Elephas maximus indicus: one gene and its partners. The protein of the gene in region 2 interacts with the protein of the main gene of each other region in a biochemical or structural test. Links are inferred from orthologs where the notes say so. Each region holds a gene or a part of one and is shown on either strand. Other genes may lie near its edges. The genes, in order: MCM3, KEAP1 and AMER1.

Evidence for each region.
Region 1: the proteins of KEAP1 (region 2) and MCM3 form a complex in vitro, tested with the Homo sapiens proteins (2 studies listed by BioGRID, with this or other methods). The link is inferred for Elephas maximus indicus from reciprocal best matches to the Homo sapiens genes KEAP1 and MCM3.
Region 3: the proteins of KEAP1 (region 2) and AMER1 form a complex in vitro, tested with the Homo sapiens proteins (2 studies listed by BioGRID). The link is inferred for Elephas maximus indicus from reciprocal best matches to the Homo sapiens genes KEAP1 and AMER1.

What each region holds. Positions count from the first base shown.
Region 1 is NC_064819.1:117,647,064-117,654,489, reverse strand, and holds the start of MCM3 (DNA replication licensing factor MCM3), read left to right. Parts: upstream 1-4,342; 5' UTR 4,343-4,543; coding exon 4,544-4,621; intron 4,622-5,725; coding exon 5,726-5,838; intron 5,839-6,265; coding exon 6,266-6,474; intron 6,475-7,177; coding exon 7,178-7,308; intron 7,309-7,426. UniProt on the Homo sapiens protein: Acts as a component of the MCM2-7 complex (MCM complex) which is the replicative helicase essential for 'once per cell cycle' DNA replication initiation and elongation in eukaryotic cells.
Region 2 is NC_064821.1:28,571,504-28,579,135, reverse strand, and holds the start of KEAP1 (kelch-like ECH-associated protein 1), read left to right. Parts: upstream 1-4,627; 5' UTR 4,628-4,903; intron 4,904-5,370; exon of another isoform or gene 5,371-5,460; intron 5,461-5,846; exon of another isoform or gene 5,847-5,910; intron 5,911-6,928; 5' UTR 6,929-6,975; coding exon 6,976-7,614; intron 7,615-7,632. Other genes in the region: S1PR5 (sphingosine 1-phosphate receptor 5), read left to right, coding at 1-1,230. UniProt on the Homo sapiens protein: Substrate-specific adapter of a BCR (BTB-CUL3-RBX1) E3 ubiquitin ligase complex that regulates the response to oxidative stress by targeting NFE2L2/NRF2 for ubiquitination.
Region 3 is NC_064846.1:107,061,661-107,069,148, forward strand, and holds the start of AMER1 (APC membrane recruitment protein 1), read right to left. Parts: upstream 3,046-7,488; 5' UTR 2,969-3,045; intron 2,539-2,968; exon of another isoform or gene 2,302-2,538; intron 1-2,301. UniProt on the Homo sapiens protein: Regulator of the canonical Wnt signaling pathway.

The DNA of each region.
Region 1 (7,426 bases), on a different chromosome or scaffold from region 2:
AGTTTCGGGCTAGAAATCAGGATATCAACATACTGTAATACGACTCCTTTAGGTAATTCTAACTCTCGTAAGTCTCTTCTCAGTGCTTCCCCAAACAGATCAGGGGCATTTTAAACCCTTGGGACAGCACAGTCCAACAGAACTGAGCCCTTGTCCTGTATCTGGGTCCTCCCATTCAAAGGCAAAGATTTCCTGGGATGATGCCTCCAGGGGAATGCAATAGAAGGCATCCTTTAAATCCAGCCCCGTAAACCAGGCATTATCTCCCAGAAGTGCAGTTAGTAGAGTATATGGGTTTGGTACTACTGGATGGATATCTTCCATAAACTGATGAATGGGCGTGAAGTCTTGAACAAACTGGTATTCACCTGTGCCCAGCTTCTTAACCAGGAATATGGGAGTGTTATAGAGCGACTGGCAAGAGCAGATTAGTCCGTGTTGGAGGAAAGTCTCTATTAAAGAGTTTTATGCCCATTCTGGCTTCCTGCTCCACAGGATATTGTTTCAGGTGGGGTATAGTGCAATTTGATTTTAGCTTTACCTTGACTGGGTTGGCTGTTATCACCGTCCAGGGACTCCAGTAGCCCACACCTCTGGGTTTAGCTTCTGAAAGATCTCTTCAGGTACGAGATCTGAGCTTAGAATCAGGAGCTGCAGAAAAGTGGCCTGCAGGGCCAAGCCTGGTCTGGGTTAACTTCAACTTGGAGCCATCCAGCCGAAAAGGTAACCTGAGCATTGAGTTTGGCTAGCAAGTCACACCCTAGGAGGGGGATGGGCATTCAGGCACATATAAGCAGCTGTGAGGAGAGTTGCCTCCCCAATATGACAATCCAGAAGTTGCAGAAAAGTCTTGCTAGAGGATCTCCCGGAGACCCCAGTAATAGTCATTTCTTCTGAAAGAGGACCCAAGTGTTAATTAAGGACTGAATATGTTTCCCCAGTTGCGTTCCCACAGTGTCTTAGTCATTTAGTGCTGCCATAACAGAAATACCACAAGTGGATGGCTTTAACAAAGATAAATTTATTTTCTCACAGTCTAGTAGGTTACAAGTCCAAATTCAGGGAGTCAGGTCCAGGGGAAGGCTTTCTCTGCTGGCTCTGGAGGAAGTTCTTGTCCTCAGTCTTCCCATGGTCGAGGAGCTTCTCAAGTGCAGGGACCCCGTGTCGAAAACATGCGCTCTGCTCCTGGTGCTGCTTTCTTGGTGGTATGAGGCCCCCAACTCTCCACTTGCTTCCCTTTCATCTCTTGAGATAAAAGGTGGTGCAGGCCACACCCCAGGGAAACTCCCTTTACCTTGGATCAGGGAGTGACCTGAGTGAGGGTGGTGTTACAATCCCACCCTAATCCTTTTAACATAAAATTACAATCACAAAATGCAGGACAGTCACACAATACTGGGAATCATGCCTAACCCAGTTGACACATATTTTTTTGGGGACACAAATCAATCAGTTGTAGCCACCCGGAATTCTTGTGGGAGATAGGAACGTGCCCGGTAGGCAACAGAGCCCCTGTGTCCCATCACTCTTGGTGACTCTTGGACAGGTGCACTATCTGATGGGCAACCTCTCGATTGGGCTCTGAAAGGCCACTGCGAGGGCGTCCAGGGAATTCTCGCTTCCAGTATCCCTCCTTTTTGCAATAGGCACCTTGTTCGGATCCCAACTTTATTGGCTGACCCATCTGCTGAGGTCCCTAAGGGGGTTTTGGCAGTGAGGGGCACTGGGAATTTACCCCTCTTGACGGGAAGTTACCCAGTGGCAGACTCCCAAGAGTGGATGCCAAGAGCACAGCCTTCTGTTTCATCCTCTGTCCTTCCCCCCCAGCATGTTCTTGGTCTTGGTTGTTGTAGACCTTAAAGGCAATCTCACCCAATTCAGAGGTGTTTTTCCCGAGTTCCCCTTGATGTTTTTGAAGGTTTCTTCTGATACCTGGGGCGCTTTGGCTGATAAAAGTCTTGTTGATCAACCTAGTGTCGGCGGGGTCTTCTCGGTCAATGTCAGAGTATTGGCAGCATGCTCTGAAGATTCTCTCCAAACAGCTGTAGGGATTTTCCTTTTCCCCCTAATTGACCTTCTGTATCTTATTCAAACTCTTTGTTTAGGCACTTCATGCTCTAGTCTGCTGCTCAAGTAATGCCTATAATGGTCAAGACAGGCCATGCCCAACCTGTCATTGGGGTCCCACCTAGGCTCTGTTATTGGAACAGCCTGGGTCACATGCTGCCTGATGTCATTTGGGGGGGGGTTCAAAGGATGAAGCTTGTCAACTTCTTACCTATCCTTTTTTCATCAGAGGTTAAAGACCGCAATCTGCCCTATTGGGGGGGATGAGTGGCAAACACAGAAGCAAAATGAGCCTCTACTTTCTTGGGGTCCTCCCCAAAAGTGGGGAAGTTATTTTTCCAACTGTGTAAGTTTGAGGTGGAGAACGGAGTGTGCATCCAAAGGAAACCCTGTGGCTGCCCAGCATAGTCCATTCCTGCTGGCGTGTGCCTTAACAGATATTGCCCTGCAGGGATAGAAGGCGGCCCCTGGCTAAATTGGGTTCCACTATGGATGTGGGCAGGGGAGACTGATTCTTGGGAAATGGCCCCAGTCCTAATGTCAGATATTGACAAAGGGGGGTACAAAGTGGCTTGAGCCTTTGGTGGCTCCACTGTTGGACTACAGCCCAGGAATGCAGAGTAGGGGGTCGGGGTCTGAGGTGTGGCGCTAGAGGTTCTGACTCTGGGGGTTAAGGTGGTGAGGCAGAAGGGGGCTGGTAGTGGACTGAAGGAGTATGGATCCCCATGGTCGTGTAAAACTTTCTTTTCAGTATCTTAGGTAGACTGAACAATTAATTTACACTGCTTCTGTAGATTCTTATTTTGATATGGAGACACAAAGACCTGCACATATGGGATCTCGTCCTACTTCTCCTCTCTTTTACAAGATAAATCTAACTGAAGGATTGTGCTGTAATTCCAAGCTCCGTGTTCCGACCCCCTCTCTCCTGAACCCAGTTAGTACTGACACCAAGCGGTGTTACAGAGAAATATCATTTACTTCTTTTTTCACAGGCTCATAACTAAGATGTGAATGATTCTTAAGAATACACCTTAGACGACTACATTCTGGAATGCTTGCGTGATTTTCATTCTGCGCGCGCGCACACACACACGCACACACAGTAACACAACACTTACGGCAAGGATTTAAAAATTAGAATCACAAAATGAAGAACAGAGCCAGAACCTGAATAGGACTCGAGTCACGTTTTGTCTATGGTCAAAAGAAACAATTAAGACCACACTGTTGAGTTTCAACAACCCAGAAATGTAATCACCGAGGTATCTAGCCAAACATCAACTTCCCAGAGAGCACACAACAGCTGCTTCTAACCCATCGCGGCTAATCTCAACAGATTTCTCAACTTATCCAAGAGACGTCTCAGACCGGACTTATTTCTGATTCTCGAAGAGTGAAGCGCCTCTGGCCGAAGACCGCCTCGGTCACACGGGAAAACTCATCCGTTCCTCCCCAACAAATGGCTCGGTGTACGCGGAGGTCTGGAGGAGAGTGCGTCCACAGTCCGAGACGATACCGGGCTCTGGGCAGGCGGGTCAGGGGGACCTCCCGGTCCCATCTGGGGTGCAAGAATTTGTCACCGAACCAAAGGCGGATCCTGGCCGGTGCGCGCAGAGTGCCACTTACTGGACATTCTCAAATTCCGATTCAGAGTGACCCTATAGGACAGAGTAGAAATGACCCATGTGGTTGCCTACGCTGTAATTTTTACAGGAACAGAACACCAGGTCTTTTCTCGTCCGGAGCCGCTGCTGGATTCCAACTGCCAACCTGCTGGTTAGCAGAAGAGAGCTTAACCATTCACTCGACTCTTTATCATGCAAAGCCCATAGACTAATTCAAATGGCTGGTTGAGTATGGTCGCTCTGGGGCAGGTTGGTGAACCAAAAAACCAAAGCCGTCGCCCTCGAATTGATGCCAACTCATAGCGACGCCATAGGACAGAACAGAACTGCTCCACAGGGTTTCCAAGGAGCAGGTGGTGGATTGAAACTGCCGACATTTTGGTTAGCAACCACGCTCTGAACCACGAACCACAGCCTGCAAAACGTTCGCGAGAGAGCAGAGGACCAAGCCTCCCAGAATGCAGCGCTTCCCCACTTCCCGGACCGCCCCCTCCAGCAGCCCAATTACCAGACTCCGAGACCTCCTCTCGGCTCCATTGGTCGGCTTTCCTGGCCGTGAGGACCCAGCGGGGAGGGGGAGAAACCAAGAGAGCCCGCCCCGGGTGTCCCATTTCCCGCCACCGCCAGGCGCCGTAAGGACAGCCTAAAGAAGGAGGAGCTCCCGATTGGATACGCGCTATTCCTGTGTAAGAAGATCTAGCCAATCAGAAAGTGCATTTGCTCGCAGTGTTTCCTCCCTTTCCTTCACGTAACCTTTGGTGGCGGGAAAAGTTCGGAAGTTTTCGCGCCGGGGAGGAGTCATTCAAGGACCACCCGAAAGACTTTTTAGCAGTTTCGAGGTCACGAGCATGGCTGGGACTGTGGTGTTGGACGATGTGGAGCTGCGGGAGGCTCAGAGAGATTACCTGGACTTCTTGGATGACGAGGTGAGGAAGGTGCAGGGTCGCGAGGCTCTGGCGCTTGGAGCCCCAGGGGACTGGGCGGCCGGGGGAGAAAGCGGGTGACGCTGCTCCTTTTCCGAGCAGGGACAGGGCCTGGCAGTAAGACCTCCAGGCGCTATGCTGGTGCCCGAGCCTGGCTGCTGGTCCGGAGCCCCGCGGGCGCAGGACCCTTCCACCCCAGTCTTGTAGTTTTTCTTGTAGCGGAGTCAGTCGTTAGCTGGCTTTATATAGGTGAGCCTTTAGAAAACTTTCTCCTAAATACAAGTGATGAACGGGTCACACGAAAGGCGACGAGTTCCCTTGAGTGCAAACAAAAGGGCAAAGCCCACCTTGGTCTTTTCGAAATCACTCCCGGCTCTGTTTTGGGAGAAGGTAGGGTAGGAACTGTTTTAGGGCGGTGTTGACTTACAGCGTTGTAGGGTCCCCAGATATTTAGTAACTGACTTGATACTGTTCAGGAGACAGACTTCTAATTTGGATGCATTCTTTTCCAATACCGGATAAGATGCAGAAAAAGAGGGTTTTGTATGCAGATAAAGGGAGTTTTACGTACAACCCAAGACTAAAATGTTGATAAAGCACCTTGAAAGAGGCTGTATCTGTAATCAAATAGCTAAGCTCTCCTTTAGTCTGGCTTTGAGAGCTCTTTCATATATATTACGTACATACATGATGGGGAAATAATAATACCTTAGTTCTGTACATAGCTTTTAAATGAAAAGGCATTTTAATAAGTGCCTGTTGGGTTTACAATCTAACAAGGTTTCATCTTTCTTTTAGATTTAATATGCACTCGTTTTAATTCCACACTAGAGACTGAGAAATGACAACATACAGAAACATTTTAGCAAGCTGTTGATGATAATAGAAATAATAAGTTGGGTCATTATTTTTGAGGAAGTCATAATTCCTACAGTATCCCCAGAAGATATATTCAGAGTCTGAGGCCGGAGAGTGAAAATGTGGCAGAAATTGATGAATGGATGCTTGGGGTTCAGTTCTGCCTTAGAGGTAGCTTTATTTATCTTGCTGTGACAGCTGCCTCTGTTTAAAAACATCCTGTTTTTTAATCTGGTGCCTATTTTGCAGGAAGACCAGGGACTTTATCAAAGCAAAGTGCGGGAGCTGATCAGTGACAACCAATGCCGGCTGATTGTCAATGTGAATGACCTGCGCAGGAAAAATGAGAAGAGGGCTAACCGGTGAGATGCAAAGGTTCCCAAGGGGAAGGCCTGGCTCTGAGTGAACCAGCTTCCTTCCCTCTTCTCCAGATTGTAATAGGCATCCCAGGAGAGGACGTGGATCAAACATGATTGACCTAGAAGCCCTCGTTGCCTCTCCTGCTCCTTTGTTTTTCTTTCAAAAGTAGTTGGTGGACATTTCCTCCCAAGGGCCTCTTTTTCCAGTATTTTAATTAGGTATCATTTCTACATCTTTCATAAATGAGTTAAAGTGGGCCCTCAGTTCTGATGGGTTTTACTGAGTTTTGTAGAATGGTAGGAGAAAGTAGGAACTGGATTTTCACTCCTTGGCCTTGATGATCTAAGAATGTCCACTTCTGTTTGCAGGGTCACTTTTTTGGAATTTTGGCCTCTCTGCCTAATTATTTTTATTCTTGCTCATATGCAGCCTCCTGAGCAATGCCTTTGAAGAACTGGTTGCCTTCCAGCGGGCCTTAAAGGATTTTGTGGCCTCCATTGATGCTACCTACGCCAAGCAGTATGAGGAGTTCTACATAGGATTGGAGGGCAGTTTTGGCTCTAAGCATGTCTCCCCGCGAACTCTCACCTCCTGCTTCCTCAGTTGTGTAGTCTGTGTGGAGGGCATTATCACTAAATGTGAGTGGGTTAGAGGTGGGGACTAGGGGAATAAAAGTAGATAAACAGGAGAGGTGGAATACAGCTGGATAGCTTGTGGTTTTAGAAAGGTGAAGGATTGAAGTTATGGGGTGAACTGGGAGAAGCTCAGAGTGCAGAGTGATTAGAATAACCTTGAGTGACTACCTGTGCTAACAGAATGGTAAGTTCTGCTGAGAACTGGAGAAGAGCGTGGCTTTTGGCATTTTCCTCATTCCAACCCTGAATTCTTAGAATTTCTTAGTTGGAATCAGTCGTTCTTGAATTTTACATAGATATGGTGATATTTGGAGCCCTCGTGGCGAGTTCTGTGTATAGATGTAAACATGAATAACTGACAGGAGTCCCTGGGTGGTGCAAACGGTTAACACGCTCAGCAGCTATCTGAAAGGTTGGAAGTTTGCATCCACCCAGAAGCTACTTGGAAGAAAGGCCTGGCAATCTACTTCTGAAGGATCAGCTATTGAAACCCTGTGGAGTACAGTTCTGCTCTGACGCACATGGGATCACCCTAAGTCAGAACTGACTCCACAGCAGCTGGTTTGATTTTGGCTTGGTATGTATTCAAATAGCTTAAACTAGTTGGAAGAAGACAGTATTTGGAGTCCTTGTAGGCTTACCTGAATGTAGGTCCTTCTATCACTGTCCACTTGGATGACTTCAGATGCATGTTTTTCATTCCTAGGCTCTCTAGTTCGACCCAAAGTTGTCCGCAGTGTCCACTATTGTCCTGCCACCAAGAAGACCATAGAGCGACGTTATTCTGATCTCACCACCTTGGTGGCCTTTCCTTCCAGCTCTGTCTATCCCACTAAGGTGAGGGGAATATAGTGATTGGGCCTCGTTGGGGGCTGGAGTCAAAGATGTCTGTTTTCATGCAAGTTAATTGGGTAATATCTGAAGTCATTCTTCTAGAACTAGATAGGGTGAAAAA
Region 2 (7,632 bases):
CCCACCTCTCTGCAGCCTTGGGGTGGGCGGCCCATGGAGCCGGGGCTGCTGCGGCCGGCGCCGGTGAGCGAAGTCATCGTCCTGCATTACAACTACACCGGCAAGCTCCGAGGCGCTCGCTACCAGCCTGGCGCGGGACTGCGCGCCGACGCCGTCGTGTGCCTGGCAGTGTGCGCGCTCATCGTGCTGGAGAACTTGGCCGTGCTGCTCGTGCTCGGGCGCCACCCTCGCTTTCACGCGCCCATGTTCCTGCTCCTGGGAAGTCTCACGCTGTCTGACCTGCTGGCAGGCGCCGCCTATGCCGCCAACATACTACTGTCCGGGCCACTTACGCTGCGTCTGTCGCCGGCGCTTTGGTTCGCGCGCGAAGGCGGCGTCTTCGTGGCGCTCGCTGCGTCCGTGCTGAGTCTCCTGGCCATCGCGCTCGAGCGCCGCTTCACCATGGCGCACCGGGGACCCGCGCCCGCCGCCCGGCGGGGGCGCACGTTGGCGCTGGCGGCCGCCGCCTGGGGCGCGTCGCTGCTCATCGGGCTGTTGCCGGGGCTCGGTTGGAACTGCCTGGGCCGCCTAGACTCCTGCTCCACAGTGCTGCCCCTCTACGCCAAGGCCTACGTGCTCTTCTGCGTGGTCGCGTTCGTCAGCATCCTGGCCGCCATCTGTGTGCTCTATGCGCGCATCTACTGCCAGGTGCGCGCTAACTCGCGGCGCCTGCGGGCGCGACCCGGGGCTAGCGGGGGCGCCTCGGACCGGGCGCGTCGCACGCCGCGCACGCTGGCGCTGCTGCGCACGCTCAGCGTGGTGCTCCTGGCCTTCGTGGCGTGCTGGGGTCCCCTCTTCCTACTGTTGCTGCTCGACGTGGCATGCCCGGCGCGCGCCTGCCCAGTGCTCCTGCAGGCTGACCCCTTCCTGGGCCTGGCCATGGCCAATTCGCTTCTGAATCCCATTATCTACACGTTCACCAACAGCGACCTGCGCCACGCGCTCCTGCGTCTCGTCTGTTGCGGCCGTCGCCCCTGTGGCCTAGGCCAGGGTGATTCCAGGCGGCCCGGGAGCGAGGCTGGGGCTTCCGGCGGCCTGCGCCAATGGCTGCCTCCCTGCACTGATGGCAGCTCCAGCCACTCTGAGCGCTCGTCGCCCCGACGGGATGGGCTGGACACCAGCGGCTCCATTGGCAGCCCCGGCGCACCCATGGGTGCCCAGACCCTGGTGCCCATGCCCACTGCAGACTGATGCCTCAGGCCCGCCATTGCCTTCCCTAAGAGCTATTTTGCAGACTTTTTTGCTTTAAATAAAGGAACCTGTAGGAAACGCAGCCAAAGACACAGGGCAGATATATTAATTGAAGTCAAACCCTATTTATTGAGTGCCTACTGTGTGCCAAGCTCTATATTAGTCACTAGGGACACAGCAGTGAACAAAACAGACTACATCTTGCCTTTGTGGTACTGAAACTCTGGTCCAGGAAGAAATAAACGCGATAATTCCAGTAATAATACAATCATGGTGTCAGTGATGGTGGTCACCTGAACAAAGGGCACTTCAGGAGGAAGGAATTGCAGGTGCAAAGGCCCTGAGGCTGTTGTGTTCAATGAAAAGCAAGGATCCTGGTGTGTCTGACAGAGAGTTGGTGGGGGAGTGCAGGAGGAGGCAAGGGAACAGATTGTGTAGGGTCTTGTGGGGGAAGGGGAGGACTTTGGTTTTGCTCTAAATGAGATGGCAACCATGGAGGGTTCTGAACAGAGGAGCCAGGTGACCTCGCTCGGGTGTTCACAGGCTCCCTCTGGCCACTGTGGAGACAGGCTGTGGGGAATGAGGTGATGGTGCTGGCCCAGGAAAGCCATGATAGGAACACCAACCAGGCTCAGACCAAGCGGTTACCGTACAGATTTTGGAGGCAGTGAACAAAATTACCAAGGAATTGGGTATGGGGTGAAGGAAAGAAAGAAATCAAGGATGACTCCCCACTTTAGAGGCAAGGAAGCCAGGGACAGGGCACCCCAAAATTTGAGAGATTCAGCCAAATCCTGTCTGAGCACAAAATTTTCTTGAGTGCAGTGTCGATCCCTCATTATAAAAAAAATAATAATAAATTTAAAGTTAATAACATTTACAGTTTATTGACGGCACTGGGCTTTTTGGTTTAGTCGCCTTAACAAATCCTAGGCTGAGGACACACATTTGGTTTTTTTCTCACCCTTACAGCAACTTTGCAAGGTAGATTTTGTCACCTCCATTTGACAGATGAGGAAACTGAGGCTCCAAGCAGTGAGCACCTTGCTGCAGTGTTTTCAGCCGGGATTCCAGCCCAGGCAGTCAGGCTCCCAGGCCCAGGGGGCCTCAGGTCTAGCGTCTGGCTCCTCCCGACGATTCCAACCGACACTCCCAAACCCCAGGGGTCTGCATTCTCAGCCAGGGGTGCTACCAGGCCCCTTTGTGCCCATAAAAGGCTCCAGGCACGCTGGCCACAGCCCCGGCACGTCCCGAGGAGCATTCCTGACCCCTGAGTTGTCGGCGGCCGGGGGAGGGGTGGGGGGCGTCGGGTTTTCACTGTGGTGTGCCACCTGGTGGGAGGTCTCGGAACTGCAGGCAGCCAGACGGCGGTGTTTTTGCAGGGCCGGGGGCCTGTCCTGGGGACCGTCTCCGCGGGCCATACCTGGGCCGCCCCTGAAGGTTACACGCCTGAGAAACCAACCTGTTTCTTGAAATATACATACACAAGCTTGGGGGTCACAGTCCCAGGACGCTTCTGGGATTGGACCCAATTCCACCCTTGCCCTAGTGCCCCTAGTCCGGACGCTCTTCTAAACTTCCAAGGGAGTCTGGGGCCTTCCCAGACATTTCACCCCATTGTTCGATGGCGAGATGGTAGGGGACTTATTGAATTGTTTACATCTCACAAAATTGAAAAACAAACAAAAAAAACACCCATTTCCCTTTCCTGGATTCGATCTTGGGAAACTTCCAGAGCTGTCTGTGAATAAATAAGCTGAAAGGAGTTTTGATCATGTAATAATAGGTCTTGGAGATTGTTGCACGTATGCACATTTTATTCTGCTTTGTTCTTATATCTTTTTTTTTTTTCAGTTAAACATTCATAGAGTAAATGTCTAAATGTCTTGCTCCTTTTAACCGATTGCATAGTATTTCACAGCATGGCTGTAAAAGAAAAGCTGTGCCCATCACTTATTAAGCCACGTCCCCATGGAGTGACATTTGGGTTGAGTCCAATCCACACTATACACAGGGCTGCAATAAACCTCCCTGGACATAAATCCTCCTGCACGCGTATCAGTGTATCTTGGATAAATCCCTACGAATGGCACTGCTGGGTCACAGGGCGTGAAGGTTTGATTTATAGATAGGCAAGGTTGCCTTGGGGCACGTGCGAGGAGGGTGCGTGTTTCCCCACAGCCTGGGCACTCAGCGTATTCGCCGACTATGAAACAGCGCTCCCCACCCCCGCCGCCCCGGAGAGGATAGGGACTGTAGTTTCACGCAAAGGGGTTGGGGGGGAAACCCCACACCAATTTCGGGCACCAGTTTAATTTCAGATCCTGGTGGCTTACGGAATCCTTTCGTAGACCAACAGCTCTTCATTTCAGCGTCTCCCCAAACTTCATCCCCTTCTATTACTTAGTTTTCATTTAGATGGACTCCTTTTAAACTAAACTTAAACACATTTATTTAAAAGTTAACTTTGTATCATAAACGGTGCAAATGGCTGTTTCAATTATCTAGTGCTGCTATAACAGAAATAGCACAGTGGGTGTCTTTAACAAACAGAAATTAATTTTCTCACAGTTTAGGAGGCTAGGAGTCCAAATTCAGGGTGCCGGCTCTTGGAAACCCTGGTGGCCTAGTGGTTAAGTGCTACAGTGCTAACCAAAGGGTTGGCAGTTCGAATCCTCCAGTCGCTCCTAGGAAACTCTATGGGGCAGCTCTACCCTGTCCTATAGGGTCACTGTAAGTCTGAATCTACTCGACGGCACTGGGTTTGGTTTGCTTTGGCTCTAGGGGAAGGCTTTCTCTCTGTGTAGGCTCTGGAAGAAGGTCTTCGTCTTTTCTGAGCTTCCTGGGTGATCTTCATGTAGCTTGGCATCTCTCTTTCCTTTTCTGCTTGGTTGTTTAATATCTCAAAAGAGACTGACTCAAGACACACTCTACACTAATCCTGCTCATTAACATAACAAAGACAACCCATTCCCAAATGGGTTATAACCGCTAGCATAAGAGGTTAAGCTTTGCAACACATATTTTTGGAGGACACAATTCAATCCGTGATAGTGGCAAATCAGTATCCCTTGTCATGAAAAATAATTGTTCATATCTATTGGGCGCTCGCCTTCGCATTTAGTCCTTACAACAACCTAGCCGGTAAAAGGTCCTATTATTTTACCATTTTACAGGCAGGAAACTAAGAGCTGCGGGAGGCAGAGCCGGGGTTCGAACTCCGGCAGGTGAGCTTCACGCGTCTCTTAATCAGAGGTAATAAATAAAGACAACAAAATCCCAACTATGCAGGTAATTCTGGCGGGATCCTGCGTGCGCCAGAATGCGAGGCCTGTGCCGTGTGCAGTTACAGGGAGAGGAGCAGGTCGCGGACAGCAACCCTGCGCTGGGACGCTCTGGCCACGAACTCAGGATGGAGCAACAGCGCTCAGGGGGAATGGTCCCGGCGGGCCCGGAGCCCCGCTGGCCTCGGATGGGCGCCCCGCACCTGAGGGAAGGGCGGGGAATCGCGGCTCCTTCCCCACCGCGCCCTCCCCACCCTCTCCCCGCCTCCTTCCCGGGCGTCCCGAGGCTGCCCCCCACGCGACGGCGGCGACCCCGCAGGCTGCGCCGCCCCGGATCGGAGGCCCTGCGACGGCGGAGGCGCCAGCGGATCCCCGACGGCGGAGGTCAGGTAGGAGCCGCCGCGGCCCGGCCGCTGCCCTTCAGGCTTCCCGGAAGGGCCGCGCGCGCGCGGGTGGCACCGCCGTGCCCCGAGCCGCCGCGGTGACTCAGGCATCCCCACCGTCAGCGAGAGCTACGGAGGCGACGAGGAGGCCGAGATGAGCGCGGCGGCAGCGGCGGGGAGCGGTGGCCACCGGGTCCCCGGTGCGGGTTGGGGAACGCCGGGCCTCGAACTACCGGGTGTAATCCTCGCGGCTCCGGCCGCGCGGGTGGGGGCCCCCGCAGAGGACCGGTCCCCGGCCGCGCGCACGGTAATGGCCGTCTCTGTGGTGGCCTCACAGGGGCGGTGCAGCTTGGCGACCGCGGGCGGGGGCGGGAGGTGGCCGCTCTCGCGTTCCCGCGGCGCCGCCAGAGGCCCGGGCCGCGGGGACTTTTATTCTGACACGGCGGGCCCCGGCTCTGCTTAGTCATGGTGACCTGCGCGCTCCGCGCCTCCCCCCGCCGCGCGGCGATGGAGGCGCCGGGGCCCCGGCGGCGGAGGCGGAGCCCGAGCGCGGCCATGGCGGGGTGAGTGAGGCGACCTGTGCCCGGGCTGCGGGCACCGCGGGCCGCGAGCGCCCGAGCGACCGTGCCTGAGGAGCGGGGAGCGGGGCGTCGCAGGCCAGGGCGCCTCGGGGTTCCCCGCGGCCTGGAACGGCCAGGAGACGGGTCCGGGGTCCGATCCTTTTGTTGGACTGCACGACCCTTGGGTTGGCCCGAGAGGAAAGAAAACAGGGCGGGAGGCTCAGGGAGCGCCGATCGCACGGAGGCGCGGGGACCCCGAGGCGTTGGGGGGACCCGTTCCATCCTCTGGGGCTGGCAGGCGAGAGGCCGCGGCGGGGTCACTTCCTGCCTTCTCCAAGTCTTGGTGGCGGCCCATGCGGGGCATGCGCAGTCCGCACTGGGCGCTTCGTTGGGGGAGTGCCCGGTGGCCAGGGGGCACCAGTGATCGATTGGCCGAAGGTGGAGAGGCAGTCGGTACGGGAGAGGGAGCCAAGCTGCGCCCTGGGTCCGGGTGGAAGAGGGCGCAGTGGGGTGGGCAGGCAGCCAGACGGCCCCGTGTTTACTGAGCCCTGCGCAGTGTCAGGCCCGGGGCAGGACGTGGGGGTGGCACGGCGGGGGAAGGCACAGCAGTGATCTAGACAGGGGCCCCCCCGGCCTGCCGGAGCGCTGAGGCTGTGTGTGAGAAGGATGGCCAATTCCTCAACAACAAGCCATGGAGATCCTTTCAGTTCCTGACAAGTGCTGTGATGAAAATGCATGAGGGAGGTGGTGACTGCATTTCAATGAGGAGGAGAACCTAGCCGCCCCTTGCAGATTCACCCCCCACCCTCCAGGCCAGCTAGTGTGGAAACCTTTCAAAACACATCGCAGACCTGGCCCTCTGCGACCTTGGGCTTTATGCAAGCCCAGCTCCTTGTCTCCCACCATACTCTCAGCAGCTTTACTCCTCCTCCTGGATTCTCCAGGTTTCCGCTCCAGCCTTACTGATTTTATTTATGGTCCTTTCCTCCCCTAATGTCAGCTCCACAGAGGGCAGGGGGTTTTGTCTGTCTTGCCCACTGCTGTGTCCCCAGTGCCTAGAACAGTACCTGGCACACAGTAGGCACTCAATAAGTGTTTGTGAGGTGAATAAAGGAATGATCTTGGCGTGCTGTAGGAAGGGCATGCTCCAGATGGCTGGGACAGAGAGAGCAAAGGGAAGAGGCTGCAGGGGCTGACCGGGCCTCTGAGGAGTTCGGTTTCATTCTTAGTGTCTTGGGGAGTTGTCAGAGGATTCTGAGCAGGGGAGGGACATGGCCTGACCTAGGTTTTAAGATGGGCCCTTGGGCTGGTAAGGCTGGGGACAATTAGGAAGCTGGAATGAATGCTGCTCTATCTGGTTCCCTCGGGAAGGAAAGCTGATCTGAGAATGGCTTTATCTTACAAAAGGAGGCCTGGCCGGTGCTGGCCCAGCCCCAGGCCCTGCCCCCAGCCCTGTGCTCTCCTCCTCCAGGGCCCTGAGTGCCAGTGGTGGTGTTGTCCCTCATCGCCAGGAGCCTCATGCAGCTGGAACCCAAGCCTAGCAGGGCTGGGGCCCACAGCCGATTCCTGCCCCTGCAGTCGCAGTGCCCCGAGGGGGCAGGGGACGCAGTGATGTATGCCTCTACCGAGTGTAAGGCCGAGGTGACGCCCTCCCAGCATGGCAACCGCACCTTCAGCTACACACTGGAGGACCACACCAAACAGGCCTTCGGGATCATGAACGAGCTGCGGCTCAGCCAGCAGCTCTGTGACGTCACCCTGCAGGTCAAGTATGAGGATGCGCCAGCTGCCCAGTTCATGGCCCACAAGGTGGTGCTGGCCTCATCCAGCCCTGTCTTTAAGGCCATGTTCACCAACGGGCTGCGGGAGCAGGGCATGGAGGTGGTATCCATCGAGGGCATCCACCCCAAGGTCATGGAGCGCCTCATTGAGTTCGCCTACACGGCTTCCATCTCCATGGGCGAGAAATGTGTGCTCCACGTCATGAACGGCGCTGTCATGTACCAGATTGACAGCGTCGTCCGTGCCTGCAGTGACTTCCTGGTGCAGCAGCTGGACCCCAGCAACGCCATCGGCATTGCCAACTTCGCTGAGCAGATCGGCTGTGCTGAGCTGCACCAGCGCGCCCGCGAGTACATCTACATGCATTTCGGGGAGGTGAGCGTGGAGGAAGGT
Region 3 (7,488 bases), on a different chromosome or scaffold from region 2:
ATAAATAAGCCCCTGTTCCTTTCCAGGGCTCAGGTTTCCATTCTGTAAGCACAGTGGTCCAAACTGGTGTTCCTTAAAGGCCTGTCCAGCTGGGAAGAAGGAGCTCAGCAGAGACCAGGGGGATTCTTCTCAGCCCTCACCATATTGGTGTTTAGGCTCAAGGTCCCCCCACCCCATGCCCCACACAAGGCCAAAGGGTAGTTGACATTATGCCACCTTCCTCTGGAGATAGCTCTACTGCCAGATCCAGAGGTGGCATCTTATCTGCCTTACTTGTGCCATGCTTCCAATCCCATTCTAAAACCAGTTTTTATCATGATGCATTTATACACACACACACACAAAAAAAAACAAAATTCCACAACCCCTCACTCTTCAGTGTCCCCTTACCCCAATAGGATTAGATCTGCATTCTGCTGCCTGGTGTTTGGGAGCCCCCACCACTGGGCCCCAAACTACTCTTTATCTAGGAGCTATACCATTCAACCAGAATCAACTCAGTCACCTCAGGCTGCCTGCCAGCCACGCCTCTCTCATTCCTAATGTGGACCTCTTTTTGCTTATGACATTAAATTCTTTCCCTAGCCAAACTCCTCTACTGTCTGGAAGCATCCCAGGATGACCACCTCCCCATTAACAAGTCTCTCATTTCTCTCCAGGTTAGTAGGCCTCTGGGCTAATGAATCAGCAAATCAAAGATATGTGTAGTCTGGGGTGGGGACAGCCCAGATCCTGAGCTTGTTGCTGAAGAGACACATCATGATTTATTTATTTTCCTTGTAGTTCCAACCCGTCCCCCTTCTTCATCCTCATTAGGACTACTCAGTTAATATCTGAGCCTTGAGTACCATTTCTCTAGTCACTTTCATGTAGATCACCGTAAGTGCAAGTTGGAGCAGTAAAGGTTTCTCCAAAGCTCTGCAAAAACATCCAGTCCTTCCAGAGCATTAACAACTTGGCACTGCTAGGCTTTGAGCGGGTTGTGACTGATGTCCCAGGTTTCATCTGTCCCTCTGAGGGATTTTGAGAGAACATAGACATTCATGATATGGAGGAGACAAACCAGAAGCAGGGAAACTAAATAATTGGCCTCCTATTGGGTTTTTTGTGTTTTTTTTTGGTTTGTTATAACTTAAGCCTTAAAATGCCCAGGATATAGGGGGACTCCTGAAGGAGTTCTGGGAAGGAAGAGGTCATCATTGGTTGCAAGAGGCAGGCAACAAAAAGAGGTGTCTGCAGTATAGACAATGACTGGCCCAACGACCTGGGTATTTTAAGTTACTGTGAAGTTGGAGGGTTTGGCTCTCATGTACACCCAGGCGGTGCGTTCCCTACTGCAATGCCTGCCCCTTCAGCCGCTGGATCGGAACCCCACACGTGCGCGCGCACACACACACACACACACACAGCACCGTGTCTATCTCTATTTTTAAACAGGAGGCTGGAGAGGAAAAAGCGGTCAGTGCCCTCTAATGGGAGAGGAGGCAAGGCAAGGGGGGAGACAAAGCGGCCTTGGAGCGCTAACCCAAGGACAAGCTTGAGCTGCAGCTCTAACTGAGGAACCAGCGACAGCTTCGCTGCCAACCCTCCTGCCGGAGGTGTCAGGAGCCAGATGCGCCCTGGAACCCAGGAGGAGGGGGCGCGGCTGTTTGGGGCAGCAAGACCGAGGTTCCGAAGGGAAGTGATCAGCCCACAGGCCCAACTGAGATCCTCCTCACAGGGACTCAGATAGTGTGGATCCCTCAATCCACGCCAAAGCCAGTCCTTATCCGGACTGGGCCAGCGCGCGGGTTTCGTGGGCAGGAGGGAAGGAGAGGCAAGAGATGCGCAGGGGAGGGGAGAAGTGGCAGCAGGGCCTCCAGGCTGTCGAGCGATACTCGTGTAACCCAGCTGTTCCAGCAAATCAGTTACAACAAAGCTGCGGAGCTCCCGGCCTACAAATGCACAGCTGGTGGTGCTGGCCGGTGGAGCCACTCCCGGGACCGCGCAGCAGCACGTGCAGCCCCAGGTTCGAGTCTCCCGAGAGCCCAGAGGCATGGTCCATGCTAGCCCGCCAGTCTGCTTGCCTCCTCCCCCTGCTGCTTCCCCACTACCAGCTGCAATCGCCTGCGCCCTGGGGACGCGCGGCCTCTCAGTCCCTCACCGGACAGTCAGCAAAGCAGGGTCCAAGGGGAGCAGCAAGCGGCCCAGACACCGATCGGCCCACCCCTTGGTTCCCCTCTCCGGGCGGCTTGAGCGGAGTACGCAGGACTGCACCGGACGGCAGGCAGAAGGAGGTTCCTGGCTATGCGCAGCGCTTACCCGGCCCTTTCTGGCTCCCAGTCCCGGTATTGTCTGCTGCGCCACCCTGGTCGGGGCTGGAGCCTAGGCTGCTGCGGCTGAGGGTGCCGCCGCCGCCGCCTCAGCTGCCTCCGCTGCTCCTGCTGCCGCCACCTCCGCCACCGCCACCGCTGCCCCAGCCACCTCCTGTACAGGCTCCCCTTCCTTAGGCTCGGGGCAGCTCCCCCATGCCCCCTCCCCCGGGACTCCACAGTCACAGTCACAGGGTGGGAAGTCCGCGTCCTGATCGACAGGAGTGTGGCCCAATCGCCACGACGGGAAGGCGGGGGGACCCTGGCCCGCCCACTGTTTTCCTTGGTACGTTTCTCTTTAAATGCAAATAAGCGCGGGCGTGGTGTTAGCAGGGGGAGAAAGGGTGGGGAACTCAGCCCTGGGGCTCCCCACTCCAGTCCCCAAACCGGGTGGGTCACATGGTGGTGGCACTACGGGCCCCTGGAGTGGGGCTCCCCGGGCCCCTGGAGCTCGGTTTCAGTTTTGCATGCCCTCCCATTTCCGTGGCTGCTGTGCCTTCGCACTGCGGCGCCCCTGCCACCACCAGGCAATTAATCTCAGAGCCCGAGGCGGGTGAGTGAGGCGGGGCGGAGGAGCTAGGAAGGCTGGGGGACTGCAGAGCCCCTGGGCATCTCACCTGGCCCATCGTTAGGCGTAGAGGTAGGGCCCCGCGGCACTCACGCCTAGGCCACACAGAGGAGAGACTGACTCACCTGCCAGGAAAAACCAGCTGCAGCGCCTGCGCCCCGACTTCACCTGCCTCTCTGGCACACCAGGGCCTTTACTGACCATAGAGGCCAACCTCACCCCACCCGTGACTGTGCTGCCCAGAGAAGGGAAGGAGCTTCACCAAGGTCACCCAGCCTGCCAGCGGCAGGAGCTGCTTTCACTTTTCATCTCTGGGAATTTACCTGTTCCTGTAGTTTGACCCTCACCCGAATTTTCCACTTTTCTCTGAACATGAGGGGATCCCCACATTCTCCACAGGACCATCAACCCTTTAACGGTGAGCCTAGCTTTGTGTAATTATCTGTCACCGAAAAGCCTAGATATTAAGAGAAAAATCTTGTCTGGGCTGAGACCAGAGGTAAGGCTGAGGGCTGAGGGTAGATTGTGGAGTCCTGTGCTTGCCTTGCCCACTGCTGTGCTTGGGATGTGGCAGGGGGCCAACTGAGCCTGGGTCTCTAACAAGCCTGAGGGCATTAAGTGGCATTAGTGTCTTCCAGAGGCAGGTGAGCTGAGGTGACAAAGAATCCAGTTCTACCACTAGCTCAAGAACATACAGAAGGTCCAGCCCTAAAACTCTGTGAGCCTAAGAAACAAAGTGGGAGGGAGTGGGGATTGAGTTTGAGGCAGGGGGAGGGATTAGAGAACAATAAAAGCCATTTTTGCATTGCAGGAGAAGTTCTCCATTGCTCTACTATGTCCCATTTGCCTTGAAATGATGCAGGTGCTAAACATAAGATAACTAACATGGTTGCTGGGATCTAGCTTCCAGCTTTGCCTTAGACTACTGTATGACCTTGGCCAATCTCTTTACCTCTCTGGGCCAGTCCATCACTCCATCTCTACAAAGGAGGGGGTAAAACTCATCAAGCTCCTCAATCCAGTCCCAATCTGACAGTTCAACTCAAATCTTTCTATAGCATTTTGTGATGTCCCATGACCTTCCATAACATTCTATACATCTTCCGAAAACAACGTAAGCAATTTTTACTAATCAAAACACCCCAGTATTGGTTTAATGATAGAAACATAGACAAATGGAATAGAATTGAAAATCCAGAAATAAATCCAAACATCTATGGTCAGCGATTTTTGACAAGGGAGCCAAATCCATTCAATGGGGAAGGAATAGTCTCTTCAACAAATGATGGCAAAACTGGATTTCCACAAACAGGAAAATGAAACAAGATCCTTACTCACACCATACACAAAAACTAATTCAAAATGGATCAAGAACTTAAATGTTAGATCTAAAACCACAAAGTTCTTGGAAGAAAATATGGAAGCAAAGCTTTGGGACCTAATTTTTTTCAATGATAAATTATCAAACACTACAACAAATGCACAAGCAACAGAAAACAAAATAGATAACTGAGACCTCATAAAGCTTAAATACTTATGTTCATCAAAAGACTTTATCAAAAGAGTAAAGAGAAAACCTACGGACTGGGAAAAAATCTTTGGGAATGATATAACTGATAAGGGTCTAATATCTAAAATATATAGAAAACTACAACTTAACAACAAAAAGACAAATAACCCAATCAAAAACTGGGCAAAGGACATGAGCAGACACTTCACCAAAGAGGATATTCAAACAGCCAACAGACACATGAAAAGATACTCAACTTCATTAGCCATCAAAGAAACACAAATTAAAACCACAATGAGATGTCATTGCAAGCCCACTAGGATGGCTAAGATTAAAAAAAACAAAGGCAAATAATAAGTGTTGGAGGAGATGTGGAGAAATTGCAACCCTCACCCATTGCTGGTGGAAATGCAAACTGGAACAGCCATTGTAGAAAACAGTCTGGCGGGTCCTCAAAAAACTAGAGGTAGAGCTAAATGACCCAGCAATTCTACTCCTAGGTATATACCCTAGGGATCTAATAGAAGTGACATGAGTAAACATATGCACACCTATGTTCATCGCAGCACTATTCACCATAGCAAAAACATGGAAACAACCTAAGTGCCCTTCAACGGATGAATGGTAAGTAAAATGTGGTACATACGTACAAAGGTGTGCTATTCAGCCATAAAGAAAAATGAGCTCCAAAAACATCTTGAAACATGAATGAACCTGGAGGACACTATGTTGATTGAAATAAGTCAATCACAAAAAAACAAATACTACATGTTCTCGCTTTTATGAAATGACGTGAACAGGTATATATACAGAAACTAATGTTCATTAGTGGTTACAGGGATGAGGGTGGGAAGAAGAGTGGGATTCACTATCTACACAGAAAAACCCATTGCTGTTGAGTTGATTCCGACTCGCAACGACCCTATAGGACAGAATAGAACTGCCCCTATGGGGTTTCCAAGGAGCGCCTGGTGGATTTGAACTGCTGACCTTTTGGTTAGTAGCTGTAGCTCTTAACCACTACACCACCAGGGTTTCCATATCTAGATGGTAGACATTTGTTATTTTTGGTGATAGTAACATCGAATGAGGGTGAAGTACACACAGGTTGACGAAAGGTAAAAAATGCCACTAAAATGTGCAAGAAAAAAGGATCTATCGGTAATTGCTATAGCATATATAATTTTGAAACAACAGTAACAACAACCAAAAAATATATATAGGCATAAATGTATATAGGTATGTGTATGTGAGTATATATGTGTGTGTATATAGGTGTATGCATATGTATATGCATGTATGTGACTGTATGCATATATATTCATATATGTAATAAAGCACATAGGGGACACAGTTATGGATGTTGATATGAAGGATTAGGATATCTTGGTCAATTGGCATAATATAGTTCATAAAAGTTATGTTCTACATTCTAGTTAGGTGAGTAGTTTCTGGGGTCTTAAAAGTTTGCAAATGGCTATCTAAGATACAACTACTGGTCCCTACTTGTCCGGAGCAAAAGAGAAAGAAGAAAACCAAAGACAAAGAAAAAACTAGTCTACAGGACAAATAGTCTACTCGAACCATGGTCTCAAGTGTTGGAGGAGATGTACCCTGAGACCAGAAGAACTAGATAGTGCCCAGCTACCTCTACCGACATTTCTAATCAAGGTCACAATACATGGATCCTGATAGGGTGGGAGAAAAATGTGGAACAGAATCTCAAATTCCTAAAAAAAAAAAAAAAATACACATTTATTGGACTAGTTGAGACTGGAAGATTCTCAGATAGTCTTCAAACCTTAAACCAAAACTAACTCCTAAGGTCAACTTTTAGCTAAATAACACATGGGCTCCCAAAATAATGAATATCACCCATAACCATGTGCTTCTTTTAAAAATCACCTATATGAGACCAAATGTCGATAATCACTTTAAAACATAAATGAGAATGTAAAGGGGCAGGGAAACCAGATTAATGGAAACAGGACAACTAGAACAGAAATAATGAGAATGTTCATGCCATTGTGAAGAATGTAACCAATGTCACTGTATAATTTGTGTAGAAATTGTTGAATAGGAACCTAAACTGCTGTATAAACCTTCATCAAAAACACAATAAAATATTATTTAAAAAAATTAAAAGGAATTTGGACGTCAGATCTCCTAGTCTAGTCCCTGGTCTATACAAATGGTGGGTGAGGTGGTGAGGCTGCCACTAGCTCATTGTGTGTCTTTATTGGTCAAATTTCTTCTCCTCCCCAGCATGTTTCCCCATCTGGAGGGCTGGAGCTATACTTTCTTGCTTTACAAAATCCTAATTGTCACTTGTCAGGCCTGATCTGGAGGTGTCTTCTTTCCCAGCACTTCATTCATAGGCTTTTCAGCTGCCTTGTGCCTTTGGGTCTGCCACCTGCTCACATTTCATCCAGAACTTTGGTTTTCTAAAGTAGGCCAAAGATAACAATTTGGAAAAGCAATTCCTAAATGTGGAGTCCAGGGCAACAATGGGCTAGGGCAGTCTCAACCATGGAAACAGAGAGAAGATATATGCAAAGTAGTCAGGTGGTGGACTCCAAATATCCGTGAGCAAGGGCGCACTGTCATGCTGCTTTTGTCATAGGAGGTAGTCTTCCATGCTTTCTGCCCAGCTGCTAAACATTCTGTCACACCAGTCCTTTGGAACTGACAGACATTAGGGTGGGCCCAAAAGCAATAAGGCTTCAGGGAAATGAAAGAGATATTCAAAATGCTGAAGAGGCTTCCCAGCTGGATGCCTTCTTTGTGGTCCTGACATTCCCTAGTCTCAGGTGTGTGTGCTCTGGAGCATTGTGGATGAAGGTATTCCTTTTCCTCAGGATGGGGAGGGGCATCAGAAAAAGGTTTCATGGAGGATGGCTTTGAGGATTGTGTCAAGTGAGAAAAGTAGGGGAAGGAATTCTGGCCTAGCCAAATCCCAGCCCTGTGAGAGTATATGGTGAATTGGGCAAGAGCTGGGATTCTGGATGGTTGGGGTTGATTATAGGTGTAGGGTAAGAGGAAGAGCTGGAAATTAAGCT